Linked DNA regions of Oryzias latipes. The protein of the gene in region 2 interacts with the protein of the main gene of each other region in a pairwise test. Links are inferred from orthologs where the notes say so. Each region holds a gene or a part of one and is shown on either strand. Other genes may lie near its edges.

Evidence for each region. The genes of interacting proteins can lie anywhere in the genome.
Region 1: the proteins of cep76 (region 2) and cryba4 interact in binary tests that used the Homo sapiens proteins (3 or more experiments, as listed by UniProt). The two-hybrid records come from large-scale screens. The link is inferred for Oryzias latipes from reciprocal best matches to the Homo sapiens genes CEP76 and CRYBA4.

Annotation. Positions count from the first base shown.
Region 1 is NC_019870.2:2,108,731-2,116,076, forward strand, and holds cryba4 (beta-crystallin A4), read left to right. Parts: upstream 1-3,820; 5' UTR 3,821-3,880; coding exon 3,881-3,887; intron 3,888-4,254; coding exon 4,255-4,298; intron 4,299-4,373; coding exon 4,374-4,492; intron 4,493-4,579; coding exon 4,580-4,721; intron 4,722-4,834; coding exon 4,835-4,977; intron 4,978-5,067; coding exon 5,068-5,215; 3' UTR 5,216-5,414; downstream 5,415-7,346. UniProt on the Homo sapiens protein: Crystallins are the dominant structural components of the vertebrate eye lens.
Region 2 is NC_019874.2:5,534,308-5,542,466, forward strand, and holds the start of cep76 (centrosomal protein of 76 kDa), read left to right. Parts: upstream 1-3,735; 5' UTR 3,736-3,874; coding exon 3,875-3,937; intron 3,938-6,200; coding exon 6,201-6,350; intron 6,351-6,453; coding exon 6,454-6,538; intron 6,539-6,623; coding exon 6,624-6,839; intron 6,840-6,953; coding exon 6,954-7,136; intron 7,137-8,159. UniProt on the Homo sapiens protein: Centrosomal protein involved in regulation of centriole duplication. Required to limit centriole duplication to once per cell cycle by preventing centriole reduplication.

The DNA of each region.
Region 1 (7,346 bases), on a different chromosome or scaffold from region 2:
CATCAGCAGAAGTTCTCTCCATCTCAAAGTAAATATTTTGACCTTACTTTTTCCTATAACAACCTGTGATTAGTGTTGCCCCGCCCACAAAGTTGGGCTGAAAGCTTCAAAGACCCACTTAGATGAAAAGTGTTTTTTGAAATGTTCTTGAAGCATTTTTCTGATGAAGAAGGAAAGCTCAAAACTGCTTTTCTGTGTTTCTTGATTTAAATTATTGTGAATCAAGAGCAGATGAAAAAGTGCACTTTAAAAATGATCGTATTTGAAGCTCTTGTAGACTCTTGTAGAGCTCTCAGAAGTGGGGGCGGGGTTACCCCACACCAACAGTCTCGCCCACAACTCAAAGGTGAATTTCTACTGAACTCCTGCCGCTCTCCAGAAACTATGTCCTAGAAAACCAGGTTTTCGGCATCATGGTAATGAAAAGAGCACTGGGAAGGCTTTGAAAATGGATCAAAGATGATCGGAGACATTTTGTCTTCATTGGTGAGAAGAAAATGTGCTGTAGGTTTACTTTTAAATGATTCAGATCATGGATCACTACAGTGACATCATATGATGGGCGGAGCCATGACTTGCAATTGTCCGATTTTTTTTTTTTTACAGACCTGACATGTTTTTTTCATATTTGAAAACCTGTTCTGGAAGAAAAAAAATAAGCAAACGGTGACAATCTTCTTTGGCTTAGAGTCAGGACTTGTTAGCAGAGCTAACCCCCCATGCCTAAACTGCATGTTACTGTAAAACCCGGACTGTTTCCGTACCGACTGAGCGTGATGTCATCCGTAGAAACTGGTTTACTTCAAGCTCCAACCAGATGAAGTCAATTGAGTCGCCAGTTTTTGGGGAAAACAGGGACCGCCATGTTGGAGCCATGTGTTGTCGGTAAGCAGTGATTGGTCCGAGTCGGTCTGAGTCAACGTTTCTGTGGCAACCACTCTCACCAATCAGGAGTGAGCTTGCTGGAAGGCCACACCTCTAGCACTTGAAAGCAGGCTACGCAAAGGCATCTGATTGGACAGTTTAAAACTTGAACTACAGACAAATATGTCGATTACCAAGAACATGATACATAAAACGTATCAGAGCCAGAATGGTTCTTCTCACCAATAAGAATACTGAGTTACAGCGGTTTATTTCTCTACAGAAGTCTACGGGATTATGGCTTCTTGGAGCCACTTCCTGTTTAGAACGTCAGGGGGGAGGAGTCACTCAGTCTGGTTCTCTTATACATTGGATCTATTGAAGTTCTTATTCAACAACAGCTGGAGTCAAGCCCGTCTGAGTATATTCTATATTATTTATCTTGTAACCCTTGTGCTATCCTAGGCACTTTGACATTGGGAGTTGGGTCATCTAGACCCACTAGACAGTGCTCTGAACCTTTTTTCTTCAATGATTTGTGATCTTCACTAGTGTCCATGGATTACATGAAATCTTTCCACCTTTATCCACCTTTGTCATGGTAGGGAGAACACGGCAATGTAAGGGGGGGTCATCTAAGATAGCACAAGGGTTGATCAAACTTTATTAGCTTTTGCCCCGCCCCACATGGTTAGTTTGATATTCTCAGAACACGCAAGCATGAGTTTACCTTGGGAGAGGCCTTGTCAGCAGTTCACAGCTCAAAAATCCGCCTTTATTTAAGCATTGTTTTTTTGTAATTGTACTTTATTATCTTTTCAAGAAAAGAACACAACACAAAACAGCACAGCAGATGTCTAACTAGTAAAAGATGCACACAAAATCTACGTCCCAATAACATGTTGGGATGTTTTCTTAAAGCACTAACTAAATACTTTGAAATACAAAATGTGAGCCTCCTTTACAAAGTATTTACAAAGTATATCAGCTATTTCTCAAGGAAGGTGATCCAGATCAGCCCACCACGTCTTGTAGAAAATGTCGGAGTTACCTTTTAATGGGGCACTGAGGCGTTCCATTGGAAAAACCTTAAAAGTCTCTCTGTACCATTGTGTAATGGATGGAGGTTGCACTTGTGTCCATTGTAGTAGTATATATCTCCTAGCCAGGAGTAAAAGTTTTTGGAACAGCCTCATCTGTCCAGGTAACACAGGCAACCTCCCCGACTGGCCAAAAAGGAACAAAATAGGGTTTGGGGCAAAAGATCCATGAAAAATTGAGCGGAGCTCCGATGCTACATATTGCAGAAATCTGGAGATCAACTGACACTGGAGAACACGGTGCTAGTAAGTTCCTACAGTGTGTCTACACTTTATACAGAGAGCTGAGTGCTGTGGTTGAATCCTATGTAAAACCTGTGGAATATATTGAGTCCTGGAGAAAAGTCGATATTGGTTTTCCCTGAGTTTGTAACATGTTTTTGTTTTTTTGCAGTTGTAAAAGCATTTGACCAAGTTTCCACATCAAGTTCAATCCCCAAATCTGCCTTCCAACGATGCTTAGATTTCTCACTTGTGAGAGGGTTCAATGCCATTAATTGAGCATAACAGAGATATAGAGTAATGTCTTCTTGGAGATGGCATTTTCATTGAATTTGAGAAGAAAAATTTCTACTGAATGTAAGATTGGTTGGTCACCCTTGAAAAGAGGGGTCAGTCTGAACAAAGTGTCTCACCCGGAGGAAATCTAACAAATCTTGGTGGGATGTTCTGAATCTGCCTTGAATTAGCCCAAAAGACAGAAAATATCCTTTTTCGAAAAGGTTTTACATGTTTTAATCCCTTATCATGCCATTTGTTAAATGTCCCAAAGTCTAAGCCCGGGGAGAAGGCTACGCTTTTAACCCTTGTGCTATCCTAGGCACTTTAACATTGGGAGTTGGGTCATCTAGACCCACAAGACAGTGCACTGAACCTTTTTCTTCAATAAATTGTGTTCCTCACTGGTGTCCATGGATTACATGTAATCTTTCCACCTTTATCCACCTTTGTCATGGTAGGGAGAACACGTCAATGGTGATCTTGACCCCATAGGATAGCACAAGGGTTAATAAGTGAGTGATCAGTGACCTGGGGAGGTCGAACCACCGTCAAGACTTCAAAACCATCTTAAAGTTTAACTTATACATCTCTGAGGTGTTTGCAGATATCCTTGAACCTGAGCATGAAAAGCCTTCATATGACGACCTAAAAGGAAAATTAGCAGGAGGGTCCCTTCCCTCCCTGTGGCTCCCCAGTGGAAAGGTTACCCGGAAATTTGGCTGAATTGCTTAATAATATGAAGTAGAATTGGAATAGATGTCTCTGCTTTTGATATAAATAACACATCATTTGCATAAAGGGAAATTTTCTTATTCAGTGTTATTCTTTGATACGGGCGTATATGGGAAGTGGCGAGATAACCGCCGAAAAACCCAACAGGCAAAAGTGGGCGGAGCAAACGGAAAACCATGGCATAGAACATGTCATGTCTGTTAGTAAAAGTGTTTTCCATCTTTTTCTGAGCAGCCTCAGTTATGGCATCTGTAATTAGGGGGTGGAGTCTAGCTTTGACCCGCCCCTTTTTGGAGTGAGGGTTTTTCTAATAGAGGAAAACTGAATCTAAAAATGTCAGATTCTGAGATGTGATGCTTTTGTTTCCGTGTTCTGATGTTTTCAGGACGGCGGTGTTTTCCCGAGTGGTTGGGAGCTGGCGCCTCCCCCTCTCTCTCTTATATTCCCCTGTGCCCCCCACCCCGGTGATAATGTGGTGTCTGCACTTCTGCCCCTCCACAGATTAACACTGCTTTTGTCGGTGGGTGGGTGGGGAGGGTGGGGGGGGGCAAAGATAGAAAAAAAAGGCCCCTCCCTGCTGCTGAGCCGGGGCTTTCAGCGTGGCCCCCTGCCAGGGGAGGCTTTAAAAGGGTGGGGGCGCGTGGCTCCTCTCACTCTCACGGCAGGACAACCTGAGGGCATCAATGCGAGGTGAGTCCCCGTCCCTCGGCCGGACAGCAACCGGGGTAGAGCCGCCCCCCCCCTCAGCACTTACATACCTTTAGTCGAATGCACCCTCCCCACTTACATCCCCCCCAAACAAACACCAGGACAGGAGATGGTGGAAAACTGAGATCAAGTGGACGGAAGAAGCCAAAGGAATTCTGATGGAGAGGAGTCATCTCCATGGAAACACTAAAAACGTTTTTTCGGGAATCACATCCAGGATGGTCCATTAGCCGGGGGGGCTTGCCCGCACTGACACTTGTGGTCCAGCATGAGCTGAGCTGCTGGGCTGTTTGGGTTTTTCAGTCTTTATCTTGAGTAACGTCTAAGAGCTGCTCTCCTCTCTTCACAGACAACATGACTCACCACTGCACCAAGTTCTCTGGCCACTGGAAGGTGAGTGTCCCGGGCCGCCGCCAGACCCGAACCCGGGCGGCCTTCAGCACCTGACTCTCCCCTCTGCCTCCACAGATCATCGTCTACGATGAGGAGTGCTTCCAGGGCCGCCACCACGAGTTCACCTCCGAGTGCTGCAACGTGATGGAGTTCGGCTTTGAGACGGTGCGCTCCCTGAGGGTGGAGAGCGGCGCGTGAGTCCATCCGCACACGGTAGTGCTCGGGTCGGGTCTGGCCGCGGCCCCTTTTCCCTAACTCCTCTGTCCCTGCTTTTGTCCCAGCTGGGTGGGCTATGAGCACGCCTCCTACCAGGGGCAGCAGTTTATCCTGGAGAGGGGGGAGTACCCCCAGTGTAATGCCTTTGGGGGCAGCAACGCCTACCACATCGAGAGGATGACCTCCTTCAGACCCATCGCCTGTGCCGTGAGTCCCTCCCCCTCAGGAAGTGACACGACTTTACTCGTTCAGAACCCGTCAGACCGGATCTTTTGCTCTGTGCCCCCCCCCCCCCCCCCCCCCCCCCCCCCCCCCCGTAGAACCACAGAGAGTGTCGGATGACTATCTACGAGCGTGAGAACTTCCTGGGCCGTAAGGGCGAGCTCAGCGACGATTACCCCTCCCTCCAGGCCATGGGATGGTGCAACAACGAAGTCGGCTCACTCAGGATCCAGTCTGGAGCGTGAGTGCCCCCCCCCCCCCCCCACCTCCACCCAGCTCCTCTCCATCCACCCCCTGCCTCCTCCTCTGACTTTCCCTCCTCTCTTTTCAGATTTGTGTGCTACCAGTACCCCGGTTACCGTGGATACCAGTATATCATGGAGTGCGACCGTCACTGTGGGGAGTACAAACACTTCAGGGAGTTCGGGTCCCACTGCCAGACCCCTCAGATCCAGTCCATCCGCCGCATTCAGCAGTAACGGCTGACCCAGAACCCGTTCTCCCCTGTGACCCTTCACCCCCGCCCGCCGCTGCCACCCAGTGCTGAATAAACTGTTTTTCTTAAACATGACTGACCTCCACCAACATTTCTGCTTCTGTGAGGCTCCTGGATCGCTCCTGTCCGCGGGTTTCCCGCCAATAAAAATTGGGCTGAAAATAAAGAGTGAGACAAGTGGATGAGACATTCTTTTTCATGGGGGGGGTGGGGTGGGGGTGGCTCTTTCCCGTCAAATCTACGAGAAAATATCAAATACAGAAGGCAATTAGTTTATATTTGTAAAAAAAAGAAGAAGATTAAATGAATGTGTGATAAGGAAGGCGGAGTTTCGTGGAAGGCGTAAAAGTAACTGAAAAAATGTTCAGGAAAAAATAGAGTTCATACAAAATATCGTTCTAAAAGTAAAAATATGGACATTTTGAATGTTGTACTGTCAAAAGTTAACACAAATTTTCAATCAGGTTTTTTTGTTTATTTTCCAAAGGTAAAATTGAGGAAGTTCCATTTTTTTTCTGCTTATTTTTGATTCTGATACCGAAGATCTGCGCTTAAAAGTTTCTAATTTCGCCAAAACAGCAGATTATGGGTTTTTTGACACAAAACGTCAACATTTACATTTTTACAGGAACTTTAGCTACTGATATGGATAAAACTCTAAGGCAGAAAATATTATAGAAACAAAATATATATATATACATTTATTTGCTTAAATTATGTTTATTTAGAGATTATAACAGAATATTTAAAATACAATATAATTCTGCTCTTAATTCCAACATGAAAGCAAGAATTTTATGATCATTTGAAAACACTAAACTCTAAATAAAAATGCATTTTAGTGACCTTTGTCTGTTGAACGCCGCTGTAGCTCACGTGCATGTTGCATAGTTTTATGAGCTCACTGAATGTTCAGGTGCTTTTTGCTCCCAGTCTCCTGCCGAGAGCTTTCTCGCCATAGCTTACAGCCCCTCATGCGTCCCTAACCCGTCCAGACCATACCCTGCCTTTGCCCAACAGTATCTGGGAGGTTAAGAAAGACGGATGAATGAATGGTTTTCAGGAATCTATGACTATACTATACAAAAAAATCTTATACAATGAAATTGGTGGATAAGAATGTTGGAAATGTTGTTTTTTGCCATTAAAAGCAGGTTTGCCTTGAGAGTGCAGTTTTTGAAGGAAGAGAGGAATATTATACTTTTAAGACATATTTTTTTATGTGGGAATCACGTAGAGCGTGAACAAATATAGAGAAAAATACTTAATTAGTTATACTGTAAAAATGTAGGTAATTGTTAAATGTTAATTCAAAATTTGGATACATTTGTTTACATATATGTATATGGAATTTTTTATACATATATTTTTTATAATTGGCGATGTTTTTTATTTTTGTTTCCTTCTTTTAAACGCTGCAGGCGTTCACTCAGGTGAAACTTGTTAAATATTTATCCCTAAACCAGTTTTTCTGCGTCTGCAGGCCTGCCTCTGCGGTGTTGGTGCAGTACTGCGGCCGGCCAGGCGGCGGCGCTGCGCGTCCGCCAGACTCCGCGTGCCTTTGGGTCAATCTGACAGAAACTGTTCTAACATAAATGTAGGAAGGCGCTGCTTCGTGACTGTGCAGTTTCAGGGAGGAAAACGCGAATTTCTGGTTGTGTTCTCTGCCGTTATTCGGCCAATCGTCGCGTCGTCTCGTCGAAGGTCGGAGTGAAAACCCCGAAAACGGCGGGAGTTTCTCCGTAGAGCCGCAACGCCAAGCAGGTTTTTTCGGTAGAAAACAGCCCAATGCCGCTCCGGCCCAAAGGAAGAGCCGCTCCGCGTTTTACCCGCCTCTCCCCGCCGCAGTGGGAGGAAGTCGAACCACAAAGCCAGCGGTGCCGCCGTTCTGAAGAAAAAACCCCAGAAAACACGCACGTGAAGACGGGCTCGCGCTGACCGTGAGCCGTGTTACTGCGGGAAAACGAACAGTTCGGCTGCAGGAAGCGGACATCGCCGCTCGGCAACACTCGGAGAGGCAGCCGCTCTGACTGAACCAGGACTCCCCGAACCCCGACAAGCAGGACCCATCGGGGTTCGATACCGGTTTTTATTTAATTCATATTTCTGAGGAG
Region 2 (8,159 bases):
TAGAGATGCAGTACAAAACAGAACCAAATCTGAAAGGATTGTTTTTGCATTTTTTGTTTGAAATCCTCAAATGTGCATGGATCTTCTGTGGACGTTTGACATTTTCATTTCCAAATGATCTGTGCTGGCCGTCCATCCTATTAAAAATGTCAGGTCAACGCCTGTGCCAAGAGGTCGACTTTGGGATTATTGTTTATTTTTAAAGTTTTGTTGTTTTTTTTTAGACATTTATACATTTACAGGTTTCCTGAGCACCATCTGTTCTTCCATGTACATTTTGCAGGGCAACTCAATACGGCCAGATTGATTCTTTTGTGAGTAGTTACTCCTCTGGAACTGTCCTGCCAAACTTTTCCTGAATGCTATCTTTAACTTTATGAGCAACTTCTGTCTTTATTGTTTTTATATGACTATTGGTTGTTGTGTACAGTATACAAGCTGCCAGGCCCCTTTTCATTTTTTACCCACTGGATGGGTTTGTCTAAGTTCAATACCCCCTCCAATGTTTATTCTGTTGTTGAGAAAAACCAAAGCTGACAGTTTTTTAAAGGTAACAAACTATTCAGTGATAAAGCCTTGTACTCTTATCACGTGGAATGTATTATCTCTTGAATCTCTGATACAACTCGCAACCATGTTACAAAATAGTAGTCATATTATTTTTTAGTTTGTGTGTGTGAGACTCTTTAGTACCATGAACTTGTTTTTCATATAACAGAGACTTGGCTAAAGCCATAATAGTTTAATGTAGAAGTTGGAACAAAGCACCTTGGATTAAATGCAACCTTACAGAAGGAAGTGATTGTGTCTTTGTTTGCAGCATTCCAATGCCTTCACAGCAGTTCTGATGATCACCTGCATTTTCACTGGTCTCAAGTCAAATTCATACGAATTCTGGACCATTCCTCCAAAAGCTCATTGGTGAGGTCACACACTGATGTTGGTGGAGAAGGCCTGGCTCTCAGTCTCCTCCCCAAAGGTTTTCTATGGGGTTCAGGTCAGGACTCTGTGCAGGACAGTCAAGTTCATCCACATCCATGTCTTTATGGACCTGGCTTTGTGCTCTGGTGCACAGTCATGTTTGAAGAGGAAGGGACCCACTTCAAACCCACTTCCATGCTTCCAACTGGGTTGGAAGCATGGAATTGTCCAAAAGGTTTTGGTATCCTGAAGCATTCAGAGTTCATTTCACTGGAACTAAAGGAACAAGTCCTGAAAAACAAGCCCACACCATAATTCCTCCACCAAATTTCACACTCTGCCCAATGCAGTCCGAAATGTACCGTTGTCCTGGCAACCTCCAAACCCAGACTCGTCCATCAGATTTCCAGATGGAAAAGCGGGATTCATGACTCCGGAGAAGGCGTCTCCACTGCTCTAGAGTTCAGTGGCGGCGTGCTTTACACCTCTGCATCCGACGCTTTGCATTGCACTTGGTGATGTGTGGCTTGGATGCAGCTGCCCAGCCATGGAAACCCATTCCATGAAGCTCTCTTAGTGATTTACTTGGGCTGATCTGAAGGTCACATGAAGTTTGGAGCTCTCCAGCAATTGACTGCAGAAAGTCGGCAACCTCTATGCGCTTCAGCATCTACTGACACCTCTCCGTCACTTACGTGGTCTACCACTTTGTGGCTGAGTTGCTGTTGTTCCCAAACTTTTTCATTTTGTTATGATAGAGCTGACAGTTGACTGTGGAGTATTTAGGAGTGAGGAGATTTCACCAATGGATTTATTGCAGAGGTGGCGTCCTATGACAGTTCCACGCTGGAATTCACTGAGCTGCGGAGAGAGGACCATTCTTTCAGAAATGTTTGCATAAACAGTCTGAAAGTCTGAGTGCTTGATTTTATACAGCCCAGTGATTAGGACACCTGATTCTCATCATTTGGTACATTTGGTAATACAGTGTATTTGTTTAGCCTGTACTGAGCCCTGAATTTATTTAGTCACACCATACTCTTCACTGGTTTACATGAAATGTAAGACATGAGCAAATTCCAGTTAACAGCCAGAATTTAAAATGATAAAAAAAATCTTCAAAGGTAGAGAATCTTTTTATTCTTTCTCTCTCTCTCTCATCCAGCCCTGTTTGTATTGTGTAATCCAGAGGCATCACATCTGGGCAGTCGGCATCATAGCTTCAACATTCCTCTTTATACTGTGCTAATATTGGTGGTTTATGCTTTTTATCTTTTGTGTTTTTATATGTGTATATATACATATTTTAACCTGTCAAGCACCTTGTGACTCCTGTCTGTGAAAGGTGCTATACAAATAAAATGTACTTACTAATATATTTGTAATATCGTTTGACCATCAACTACTCCAATGTGGTCAGACTGGAGGCCTGGAACTGGATTCTAAAAACAAATTCAGTTTTTAAAGAGGGTTTTCTGGTAATCAGGACTTTAGTTATTTTATGTCGTCTGCAGTGGGACATTCTGAGTGAAAGAATGAAGCTTGGATTTATGAATTTAGCGACTAGCTGCAGAAAATAGTGTCCCTTCCTCTTCTACGTGTGCTCTTTACCACCTGGGACGACGGATATTTTTCCTTGTATTTGTTTTTATACCTTGGTATTTAGTAAGTGGCTGCACAGTGGACCCTCTTGCCTCACAGCAGGAAGGCCCCCAGTTCAAAGCCCGGCTGGGGGACCTGAAACGGAACACCAACGGGGACCTTTCTGTTAGGAGTTTGCATGTTTTCCCTGTGCATGCGTGGGTTTTCTCCGGGGACTCTGGCTTCTTCCCACCGTCCAAAACATGCTTCATAGGTAAATTGGTTACTCTAAATTGTCCATAGGTGTCAATATGAGTGTGTGTGTGGGTGTGTGATATGTGGCCCTGAAACAGACTGGCGACCTGTCCAGGATGTCCACTGACTTCACCCATGAGTGGCCGGGATAGGCTCCAGCAGCACTGGAAAAGGACTAAATGGGTTTAGAAGATGAATGAATTGATGAAAGAAAGTATTTACTAAGTGGACTGTAAACAGATAAAATCCCTGCTTTGTTTCAGAGCAAGGTAACATGTTTACTAAAACATTAAACTGGAAGTATAAAAATACCTGCCCATGTAACAAATCCATTGCATATTTGCCATAATAATCTAAATGACATCCTTGAAATTGTTTTTTCATCATTTCTTACAACTGCGATCAACTGTACAAGTCTGTGGATTAATTGGGTTTAATTCTAACTTGCAGAGGTGTTGTGGTTTAGTACTTTCCAGCATTAACCTTACATGTTTTAAAGGTCATATTGTCTGGACATTGGACAGCTTCCTTCAACACCTTTCTATTTTTTCACTTTGGAAGCTACGTTCTGCCATGTTTAATATCTTTTTCTAGCAGAAAAAATAATGAAGGGTGGACATTCTCCGTCAAAGGTGTTAAGTTGAGCGCAGAATTCATCGTTCCACAAAGTATGAGAAGCTGTGCAGGTTCTGGAGCAGCATCAGCACCACACGTTGCATTAAGCTGGAGGTGCATTGTTTAAGGCTGGTTTTTAAATGTTTCGCTGACGATGGACCAATGGGATTCCTGAATATAATTCACAACATTTTTGGCTAAAAATCCCGAAAAAACAATATTAATTTCTGCATGATGTGACCTTATAAAACTGAAAATTTTGATGTACAAAACAATGATTACTTAGCTACGCGATAGAATGAGTCATTCCATTTTCTTCCTTTTCGTTCAGGCATTAACCTAGACGCCTTCCTCTGCAACTGTCTGGCTGTTGGGCTTGTCAGGACCCCGTCTCTTGTATGGACATAACAGTTTTAGATTTCCGCTGAATTCAAAAATTATGCTGCAGAGCTTGTTGTTGTAAACTTTTAATCATCTCGTAGGATCAGATTTTGCAGCTATAATGTCTTTACCTCCAGAAAAAACCTCCGAACTGAAGCAGATTATTCAGAGTCACCTGAAGAAGGTAAGAAAATTTAACGCGCTAGTGTTGTATCCTCTGTTTTCAAGAGTTTGCACTTTAGATTTACCGTCCTTTATGATTATTTTTTGTGCATGAATTCTTATAGCTGTTATGTGTTTTAAACCCCGACCACCCTTCTGACCAACAACAAACAACTTCATCAAATATTTAAGATGGCATTACTAGTAACTTTTCGAAGGAGGAATTTTTTTTCTTCAGATTCCCAAAGAAGGGTTGAATTAAAAGAGATAATCATAAAAGCTATGTCATTTCAAACACTACTCTCATCACTACAGCAGCCAGCTAAAAAGGCAATAACAGAGATCAATAATCATAAAAGTCAATGTTGGGATTGTGACCCAAGGCTACAGCTGTTGCGTTCGAGGATCATTAAGAACCAACATGTTTTATGAAGTTGGAAGTATATTTTTTAAGTTGATTAACCTTTTCTTAAACCTGAGTTTTTTTTAAATATATTGTAACGATCCAGCCAGACCGTCACTTAAGCGGGGTAGCGTAAACCAACTGCTCATGAGGGAGAACTGTCCGAGCCCCATATACCGCACGACCCCGGTTGGTCTCAGACAGGAATTAACACAAGCAGAGGCACAGTCACCTTTCGAGCATCAAGCCCTATTATTCCAACACACTCAAACAGTCTAACAGCATGGACTGTCGCTTCAGTGCACAACCCTCTGACTCAAGGTTTCACCCTAAAGCTCCCCACTTCCCATGAGCCTTAGGGGCTGAAGGCGGGGCCAACCCCTCAGCTCAACATACATTAGGGCTGCACGATATGAGGAAAACTTGCGATATGCGATATTAGTGATCAATATTGCGATAACGATAAATTTGCGGTAAATAAACAAATAGAAAAATAAACAAAAACATCATTCCCATTTCATTGCAACAGTTTAAAAATTACACTCCAAATGACCCTCATCGACATGGGGGACAAACATCTAACATAATAGGCCTCCATCTGATTGGTTAACAATGGAAAGGCGTCCATCTGATTAGTCAAAGCATAAAGGTATTTATTTGATTCGTTAAATGCTTCAAGCTGCTAGAAGATTGTTTTAACACATTTTGGGTTTGCGATTTATTGCGATATTCGCCGTCTTTTGTGATATGCATATTGCAGAGCTGGATATTGCGATAACGATAAATTTGCGGTATATTGTGCAGGCCTAACATACATCATTATCTTCATCTTCTATGTGACATTAAAGCCTGTGTGATTGTAAAAACCTGCGGCTCAAAAATCTAGTTACCATAATCTAAAGCTGTTAGAGGACCCACTCCAAAGAAAATGGTGTTTTTAACATGTTCTTGTAGCATTTTTCCGATGATTGTAGACATTTATAAAGACAATTAAGATTAAAATTGCATTTCTGAGTATCTCTTTTAGATAGATAGATAGATAGATAAATGACTTTGTTAATCCCACAATGGAGAAATTTTAATTATCTGTGGCAGCAAAAACGACATTCAGAAATAATCTATATAATACAACATCAAAAAAGGACATCAAAAATGACATTCATATTAAATTATTAAAAATGATTATTAAAATTATTGTGAAAATTATTATGACAATTATTATCAAAAATGAGATTCGTATTAAATATTAAATAAATAAATACAGCTTCAAAAGTGTAAAAAAAAACACGTGATCAACTGTATAAACCTGTATCATGTAAAACATTTTAACAAATTATTTTGAACTGATGAAAATAATACAGTTTGAAAATGGTTGTAGTTGAAGCTACAGGCTCCCTGCTCTGCTCTATTCTGATGCATTCACTGTCAGACAAACAGATCCATGTACGTCTTTGTTTTCCTCGTCTGAGCTGGAATCTGGCTTAGATCTGTACAGCAGGATAGCGCCGATATTGCTCGCCATCTTTGTTGCACCGCTAATGTTAGCTTGGGGGTGTGAGGGGACTGTAAGCTAGCAGGAGAGAATGTAATCATAGGGTTAATGGGAAATGATGGCAGGCTCACTCCACACCAGCAGTCCTGCCCACAACTTGGAGGTGAATTTCTAATGAACTCCTGCCGCTCTGCAGAAACTATGTCCTAACAAGATTAAAATACCACTGGAAACAATTTTACAATAGAGCAAAAGATGATTGGCGTAGATTTTTAAGGCACAGTCCCCATGCTTGGTCTAACTGCTGTCTGTTCAAACTGTCTGTTCCTCTTCCCTGCTGAGGTTAAGTTCGAGGAACTTCTAACACAACCTTTTATTTCTGTTCCTCAGATGAACATCCACGGGAAAATCCAAGAGGTGCTGGCGGAGACTGCAAGGGTGGATCCCGGCTCTGGACGTTTGTCGGAGGAGGATTTCAGACGTGCTCTACAGCGCAGAGGCATAATAGATGATGTGATGAAAGACCTCCGTTTCAGCCAGGTGTTCTCGCCTCTCACTGACAGATCACATGTTAGAAACGAAGAGAGCTGTCTCTATTCAGAAAAGACTGAGGAACTCTATCACTAACTGCCTGCCTTTGTAGGAAAAAGCAACAAAAACAGCATCAGGATTTCCATCTAAGCCTTTCAGTCATTATGGTGACAAAGAAATGACCGAGCTGAGACAGAGTAAGAGAAATTATGATGCGGTGCACAGTGTCGTGTTTGTGTCATACTTGTTTTAATTTTTCTTACTTCTTGCAAATCAACGTAGACCCATCAAGGCAGTACCTGCATCTCCAAGTTCTTGGTGGGAAGGCCTTTCTGGAGCACCTGCAGGAACCACAGCCGTTACCTGGTCAGGTGTCTTCTACGTTTACACTCTACCTACATTTCCGCGACCAGAGGTTTGGATCTAAGCCTGTGCCCTGTACCTGTGAACCAGACATGAGGGAAAACTTCCTCCTGGAACTCTGCAGGGACAATGCAGGTAGGAGGAAAGTAACTGTTTAGAGGTTAGTGAAGATGAGCTTGAACTTAGGTTCCAGGCTTAAAAAATACATCTCCTCCTTGAACCTAATCATGACTTCTTTTCTTGTTAAAGATGGAGGTAAAGTGATGGATGCAGCCTCTATGCTGTCTATATGCGACCCTATCCACTTTGTCCTGATCAAGACGGACATTTCTGGTGAGACGACGCTGGTGTCGTCCTATTTCCTGGATTGGAGGCCAGTTCTCAGCTCAACAAACAGCAAGACTTGTTTTGCTGTGGAGTTAATGGGAGTTGGTAAGCCACCCTGATTGTTATGGTCGGATAAGCAACCCCTACTTTTAAATAATATATTACCTTTGGCACACTAAAGAATGAATTTATTTTTAAATGAGTTAATTTTGTAGGTCATTTTCCTACCTGGAAGTAAAACGTCTCGATCTCTGCGGCTCCGCCTTTCTGTCCTTGTGGGTGCCGCCCATTTCATGACATCATCCTCGGCAGCATGTCTGCCTTTCACCCACAAAAACAAACAACATCTGAACTTTTGCAAAGATGGATGTTCATATTGTGGAGCAGGGCTGCTCATTCCTGGTCCTTTAGCTCTACCACCCTGTCTGTTTTCCAGATCTCCAAGCTCTGCTAGCTGCTGAATGAGGGTGTGTGTGTTAGCGTGGGGGTGGGTTGGCACCGCAGACTCTTCCTGGAAGGGGCTGTTCCTCACTTTGTAATGCTGCAATGTGAGGGTCCACCCATTTTTGTGGATTGGGAGGGGCTGGGGCTCAGAACGCAGGTTTTTAGAGGAATACTCAGAGATGTGTGAACGGATCACAATACTGCTTTGGGGTTGTTTTTTGTGAGGAATGAACATTATTATACATTTAAAAGCTTAAAAAGTTGATTCTGCTGGATACAGACCCTTTAAACCAGGGTTTCTCAAAGTTTTTGTAGCGGAGGGCCAAATGAAGAACTCTGCATTAGACTGGGGGCCAATTTTGGTTTAAAAAAATGGATAAACAGAAAAGGTTGTTTTTAATAACTTGGATGACCAAGTGTCATTGTACAGTTAACCAGGCCCAGGCTGTGCAGAGACTAATGCACGGAGCATCAGTCAAAACACTCTCAGCAAAGCGGGTTAAAGTTCTGCAGAACCTCCCAGCAATAGATTGTAGTCCAGCGACCTGATGGATCAGAGTGATGTGTACAACGCTCTGAAACAAGGCCAACGTCATGGCGATGGTGTGCGAGAAAGCTGAGCTGCAGCTGCAGAGCAGACTGTCATGGAAATAAAGCATCTTTGCCACATGAAAGCATCTCCTT